Neodiprion lecontei: one gene and its partner. The protein of the gene in region 1 purifies or fractionates together with the protein of each later gene. This does not show direct contact. Links are inferred from orthologs where the notes say so. Each region holds a gene or a part of one and is shown on either strand. Other genes may lie near its edges.

Region 1 (3,928 bases):
TATTAAATTAGCACGATACACTTTTACAATTAGAGGTTGAGTAGTATATGTTTTCTGTAGTAAAATTGGTGAAAAAACATTTGCCACTATTATTGAACACCTATATGTGAAAATTTCCAAGAAATTTACGAGACGAATGATTCAAATTTTGTTTTCAGCACTTTTAAATGATTCTAACACTTTCCAGATGTTTTAGAGCTCCGATCAAGATATTGAAGTTAAAAGTGAATGTCGATACAAAATTCCTAGAGAATCAATTGACAATTACACCGACAGATGCTGAGAACATTTCAAAAGTTTTGTTGCAAAAATTCAAGAAAGTTAGAAAAAGTTAGAAAAAGTTAGAAAAGGTACTGAACTCCTGAGAAATTACCTATTGTCCCGAAATCTTCGTGAAACTTCGTATGCCATTATCTGGAGCCTTTTTACAAAATGTTTATCAAAACTCTGTTGATGTTCGAATCGCGTAAAAGTCATCAAAGTATAATGAGAAATAGTCAGAATTTATGGAACTTGTTTAGCGCTTTTAAAATCTGCGAGAACTTCATCGGAAAACTCGAAAATATCAGTTGAAAATAATTCCGCGACGCATTACAATCTTCGATAAGAATCCCGGAAAGTTCCTTAATTAAAAAGTAAACCAAAGGGGATGAGGGAGTGAATTGCTATTCAATTTTACACGTCCAGAGTTCACTTCTCCTAGTGTAAATATTACGAAAAAATAGAAGTCTGACTGTTTTACGGCAAGATGCCTGTAGAATAGCCAAAATAATTGTTAGCTACCGCTGGCTACGGATGTAATCTTAAAATATTTAGATGTACCCATCATAGTGTAAGAAAAAGACTCAGTCGGTAAAGGAAGCATTTTTATATACTCTCGGAGCATGAATGATCCAATCTGATCTACAATCCCACAGAACCTGTAACAGAACTGACAGAACGTTCATTTCGTATTGCTCGACGTATATTGGTCACGAGCCTCGCGGGTGGGGGGTCGAACAGGCAGAGCCGCGGCCGACGAAAACCGAAACTCCGGGGGTGGCAAGCGAAGCAATATGGCGAGATGTGTCGTCGACGTAGGGACGGTGAGGTGTCTAAGTGAAAGAATGGTAAAGATGCAGAGAGAGTCGCGAAATGGGTTGATAATGATGTAGTGGATCGTCGAGAGTGCGGTGAACATTTAACAAGTGTAAATAGAATCAAATCCGTTCGTCCCGGTGTTCCGTGCCCTATAAAATAAAAAAAAAAAAAACGGTGCTGCTGAAACATGTCTTCTACGGATAAAATAAAGGTCGCCGTTCGGGTTCGCCCGTTCAATCGCCGAGGTTGGTAAAAAGATACAACAGAATTTGCAGCGACGTTCGTCCACAGATTTTGCAATTGCAGCGTCGGTAATCCGCGACGTTAAAGATCCATTAAAATCCACATTAACCTGCTGAATCAAATACTGGTTCGCTGTACAATCGGGCAGCGCGCGGCGGCGGCGGCGGCGACGGTTCTCCGCCAGCGCCGTAGATACTTTCCGAGAAGTATATCATTGATTTCGCATCCTAAACCGACGAAACTGGCATCGCCAGGAGATTGACAATTATTGTTTTCCACATAGCATAGCTGAGTTCTGAACTGAACATTTCCGTTCGATCTGTTGTGTGGAGCGAGAAATCCAGGCCTCGTAATTTCAACCTACAATATTTATTTTGCGCACACACAACTTGAACCTAACATTATCTATATCGGCGCTTCAAACTTCGTTCACTTGTGATTACAAATAACTGCAAACAGCCACAACCACATTCACTAATCGCTACCGCTTTCCCCTGTATCTTTATATCGGCCTCTGTACTTCAGGCAGAAGAGAAAAAACACCGATCTGACGCGTGGTGCTGGTTGAAAGCGTATTTTTTACGCACGCGAATCGCGTCGTAACGTTTCGATGAGTTATTATATTCATCCATGAGTCTACGGACGTCAGGCCTACTTTCTGTCACCCGCCTGGCTTTGTCCTTTTTTTTTGGTAATCTTCAACGAACATAGCTCTCGGTAGTAGGCAATTCTAGTCGATTTGTCTGTTTCATGCCGATCGGACTGCTCGAAACAATAGCGTAATGATTCGTGTTTTGAACAGTTCGAAATGCTTCAACAGTCCGGACAACTTCAGAGTGCTCTTCCAGCCCTCGAGCACAATGACAACGGTCATACTACAAAAATAATGATAAAAAACCGCCTTTAGAATAGACGTCTGCGAGCATTTCAATTCGAATTTATGATAGAAAGAGTTCAGCACAACGGAGCCATGTGCAACGTGAACAAATAAGCGAAAATAATTGAAAATCGCAATTGTATCAAACTTTTGAATTCTCAGTTATGTTAGGTAAACCATAAATTTGGTTCTGAATAAACCGAAATGAATCGTTTTCAATTCCTTAACTCTTACAAACTAATCTTAATGTTAAATATTCTAATTTCGGTTGTGTTTCGTTTGGTCAATGTCACAAACTTCAATTTACGAGAAGAGTATCACACCTCCAGGTCATGGATTCTGCTGAAACTTCTAAGGATGTTTTTCTGGCCTAAAAGATGTACTAATCTTCTTTTAAAATTTGGATCAGGTTTTTAAAAATTCACAGTTACTTCACTACGACTCTGACATAATATATTAGTTCGCACTTGATTTGTGGTGGAATACTATCGCTTTGAAGGTTCATGAAAGCGCAATGAAAATTAATATTTAAGACAACAACATATAACAAGTAAACTGCTGATATAATCGATTGTGACTAACGTGAAGAAGGGCCTATTAGACGAAAGTTCAAATCACAGGCTTCGTATTTTAGACCAAGGAAATGACCCTAGAAGTTTCAGCAGAATCAATCATCTAGAGGCTTTATCGAGAGCATTATACACTCCTTGTCAGCGTGTAAAATAAACATGAAATAGTCAAAAATGCGAATTTAACGATTCGCGGACTGTCTGAGGCCCCGTGGCTCGTCCGTCCGGCATAGATGGTGTATAATAAATACACCGCGACATCTGATTATCACTTCACCTGCCTTCCGAAGGCCACCGACCAAGCAACCGACGACACGTTGTTCCAGCCTTTACAATGAGTGATTCAATGTCGGCGCGGTAAACTGTTTACGTAAAAATAAATAAATTGCGCTAACCTGATGAATCGAAACTACCTGCCCTGCCTGTATAGCCGCTTTTGTATCCCCATATATACATACACACACACGGATACCCACATATCTACGTAACAACACAGTATATAAGCTCTGTACTCTGACCCTGTAACGCGATTTGTATATATCACAAGGTGTTTCAAAACAGATAACGTCAGATTCAAGTGCAGCAAGATTACTTTTTATTACAGTTATAGTATACAGTCTGAATTTATATGCAAGGGAAAAATGGTTGATCTTCTCAGTTTAAGAATTCAAAAAAGGTGGGCAGAAAATCGATTCTTTTTAATCACATTGTATACAGAGTCACAATAAAAATTTTCTTAATTGACCAAATTTGACGTTGGTTTTTGTCAAATTCGTGAAAATTAGATCACATAATCGACTGCATAATCTTCAGTTTTATCGAGTGATATTTTGTTATCTTGGGTAGCACCTGGTATCTGAGAAATTACAACTATAATTTTGGCGTTTATTTCCTTGATCATTCATGACTTTGAGAACCTGAAGTAGTTGTTCAGTGACTGATAATATTACCAGCGATAGATAAAGGTTATTTTGATATAAGACCTGAAGCGCAGGCTTTGCACCGAAATAAGGTTCTTTATCATCACGGCGGTTGATTTACGGAATACGTGCGTGGGTCCTGGTAAAAATCAACACAGCCTATTGGCCCAAAAGTAGTCCCGTCAAATCCGTAACGGGATTTACTTGTATAAACATTTTAAGAATGCCTGGTGCAAGAA
Region 2 (3,928 bases), on another chromosome or scaffold:
CGAAGACATCGTCGCCTAGTTCTATTCGTGTCAGTTCAGTGTCAGGTAGAGCCTCCCTTTGCGATAGGTAGGAAGATCATAGACAAGCGCATACGCAAGTTATATGCAACCTAGTTGCTACAAGGTAGACAATGCGATCCGCCAAAACAAAGCCGACGCTGCATCTCACGCAGCCCTGCCTCTAGTCACGTTTGCGATAAACACGTTTCGTAGTTCGAGCCTATTAATTATCAAGCGAGAAATGAGTTGGAGGAGCGCATCGATTCAGCCACGGTTGTGATATTTACCTGTAATTTCGATGGATCAAGTTTGATCGAATATAACTCAAATCGTCGGTTCTTGGTGCCTGATGGCATATTTATTCATTATTAAAGCCCAGTACTCGCGATAATTTGAGACTTTAGTCAAGCTTGATTCGTCAAAATTGCCGATACATGTAATAACGATCAACGAGAAGAAAGCGATAACAAAATCTTTTCAATATACTCTCGAAACTATCGTAACGCAGTTTTGTAACTTAGTTGAAATTTTATTGTTTACGATCTACTCGTGAACTGATTACCTCGGAGGTGGAATGATCTGCAGAATTTTCTCACTTCAGATGGATAACTGCAATTGCCACTGAACACTTGACACACACTACCAATCTTATTTAATTACAATCACAGTAAGACTGTGAAACAATAAGTCCCTTCGACAAAAGATCACTGCAATTACTATTAATGAGTGGAAAAATTCTTCCGCGTCCGTTCGTCGCAGCTCGGTATTCGAGACTGAAACTCGAGTAGCGAAACTGGGCACGCTACATAATTGTTTACGTACGTGAGTCACCTTCGCGAACGAGTTCACCTAACGGCGTCCCGAAATACAAAACAAGACGAAATTTCCGACGTAGAATTGGCATACAGGTATCAGATGATTCGGTATTCATACATTCTAAATGAATTTAAGGGTGTATCTATTCCTACATGGAGAATAATTTTGTTCGCTTTAAATGCATGGATTTTTCAAGTACGACCCCGCATGTACACCCTTGAATTCCGAGGCAGCTGTGTAAAATACCACTTCCGAGTTTAAGAGCTGTGTATATATACGTTACCAGACTATAACAGAGATCCATTTTGTTTTGAATACATTTAAATTCATTTCGACACGCATTCTTTGCGCATCGGGTATAATTTATTCAAATTTAATTTGAATTTATTTTGGCTGTATAAAACGTAAAATTTGCATATCGTATCGATTAACATTTACAAGTCAAACTGAGGGATTTCATAAATTCAACGAACAGACAATGCGGAATGAGAAAGTTCCGTGTTGTTTACTGGGGTGGCCATTAACAGAATTTGAAAAAACTTCACCCTTGTCACATCTCAATTCGACTTGAAATAAATATGAGATGAAATCTTTAATTTCTCATTTCCTTCCCTGACTTGGAAAGAAACATTAACTTCAGCTACAGATCTGAGGATTGGCAAGGTGAAACATGCTTTGTGATCGAAAAAAATACTGCAACTGAAAAGCTTAATTCGCTAAATTTCTCATCCCGAGATGACAAACTTACGGTCAGACTGACAAGGAAGGTATCCCAGGTCGATCTCACCGATTTGATTTCTTTTTTAATAAATATGTTATAGTAGACTAAAAGCTAAGCGTATTTTTTGTATTTACCGTTAAACGCTTTAAAGGCTGTTTCACCCACAAGAACTCGCAACGAGAAATGAAAAATGTTATTTTCTCAATTACAAAATAAAAAAAAATAAAAAAACGAGCTAACAAATCGTCCTTGCGTGCCTTGCTTTGAAGGGTGGTTTCACCCCCTTAAGGCGTTTAATGGCATACGTGAAAGAAAAAAAAAAAAAAAAGAAAAGAAAAGTAGGCGTCGCTTAGTTTTTAGTCTACTTTCAGAGATCGACCTGGGATACTTTCCTCGCGGGAGGATTTCTGAAATCGAGAGTGGCGATACCTTCTTTCGGAGGGATATATCCGTGCACCTCGCAGTAACTGCCAGCAGGACCAGAGGCTCCGGGTGTGTCGAGGGTGAAGAGGGTGGTGGCGGAAGTGTTGAGGGTGTCGGAAGCCTGGTGAGTAGCCGAGTTCGGCTGGTGGATAGTGGACCTCGAATCCTGTACGCTGGTTTGGTGCTCCTGCTGGGCTGCCAAAATCTCTTCACGCCTGCACTTGGCGCATCTGCGCATCTCCGAGCGAACGCGAAGCAGCCAGACCATACCGAATAGAGCCATGTCAACCCGTGGAACGTTTTCCCCCGACGGAACCGTCATTCTCGCCGAAACGCAGTCATCGATTATATGCTCCACCGATATTCCGTGATACATCACCGGATAACGCACTATTCGACACTGTTTAACCACCGCACTGGAAGAGCGTCTTCAGGACTCGCTGCGACGAGTCAGCGACGATTCGGACCTTCCGCATCCTCGGTTTACCTTCATCTTCGCAGAGCCCTTTTCATTCGAGTCATTCTCGACTGGTATTCTGACTTTTCGTGTGTTCGTGGAAAGAATTCCGAACTCTCCAGACTGTTTGAGTATAATTTGGCAAGTTCTCATCTACGTCTGTTCGTCTCATCCACCGGAGGCTTCTGTTCTCGTATTACGGATCAACGAAATAGAAAATAAGCTGGGATTTACTCCCGCTGTAATTTATAATTGAAGAATCTTTTTCAGATACTTTGAGAGTACCAAAGAGCGCTAAGCGCTGATCAATTAACAATGCAAAGAATCTCGTCGCTTTCCCTGAGAATTTTTCAGCTGAACGATCGCCATTCAGGGTTGGGCAAATAATTTCACGTCGTATTCACGCAGCCTTTGTACAAGGAAAGGGGGAAAACATTTCAGCGACCAGGTGTCTGGAAGTAAAATCTGCGATGAAATTGTATCCCGCGAGGAACCATCTACCAGGGGTGAAAACCTCGCCCCGACACTCAGGGATTTTCCATAAATTGTACAAAACCGTAGAAACACAGCCCTCCTGATACCCACACGTGCGAGAGATAGACTCCTTTTAATCCCTCTCCCGTAATTCGCAGGACACGCAATTAAAACTTGGTCAATTCCACTGCCTAGGGTCGAATCTGGTACAACAAGTTACACAAATTCTCCCCCATTCTTGGAGCAACATTCACCTTCCGCCCTACTTCGTTCGAGTAAAGACTGCAGAACGGTGGAAAATCTTATTCATTTATTTATTTATTTCATGCAAGTAAAAGCGCGGTGAATAGAGAGAGAACGATTTTCAATGGTGATAACGCGGATATTCAGCCACGAGTATCCGGCATTTTACGCTTCTTCGATTCGTTCGTTATTTTTTGACGACTCGATCGTAAACGCGAAGTAGTTGATTGGCGTTCGAAACGACGATGAAGAAAAATGACATCGACGTCGAAATATTATGTTGCCGTTATAGAAAACGAAGAGAAAGTTTTATTATTTTTGTTTTTAGTGCTCGTAACAACATCATGAACGCGTTTATAACTTGGCTGCGGGTTATCCGGCGTGAATACAAATATATAAGTTCGGAGCCGTCCTGCCGGGTTGTGCGTTGGGCATGTCCTTGTAGACATGTGAAAAAATGGGGATGGAAAGGGCGGAGCGGTCGGCGACGTTCTGAGGAAGATTTATTTCTACGACTCCGATAAATTTATCCTCAAGGCGAGAGTAAGGAAGCGTGTTTTTGAACGAAAGGAACGTATAGCTGGTTCCTGGCGACGGTGAGGAAAATAGTGGACAAGAAAGGGAAACACTCGACGTATAGTGCAAGGTCCGTTCCATCGTCAGTCGAACCACCCCCGATACGTCGGCGTTATTTCGACTAACTTACGATCGGCCCTCGAGAGGATTTTCGCGGCGATTTCGCCTGTTAATCGTTATTTCAAGAATTATATCCTGATTTAAGGTTGCATCTTAGT

What was found.
Region 2: the proteins of kinesin-like protein KIF13A (region 1) and disks large 1 tumor suppressor protein purify together in Drosophila melanogaster (affinity purification with western blotting; 3 studies listed by BioGRID). This does not show direct contact. The link is inferred for Neodiprion lecontei from reciprocal best matches to the Drosophila melanogaster genes Khc-73 and dlg1.

What each region holds. Positions count from the first base shown.
Region 1 is NC_060261.1:13,225,881-13,229,808, forward strand, and holds the start of kinesin-like protein KIF13A, read left to right. Parts: upstream 1-1,040; 5' UTR 1,041-1,267; coding exon 1,268-1,325; intron 1,326-3,928.
Region 2 is NC_060260.1:7,310,278-7,314,205, forward strand, and holds the start of disks large 1 tumor suppressor protein, read right to left. Parts: upstream 2,298-3,928; 5' UTR 2,283-2,297; coding exon 1,967-2,282; intron 1-1,966. UniProt on the Drosophila melanogaster protein: During embryonic development, some isoforms are essential for proper neuronal differentiation and organization. Required for cell polarity; maintenance of apicobasal polarity.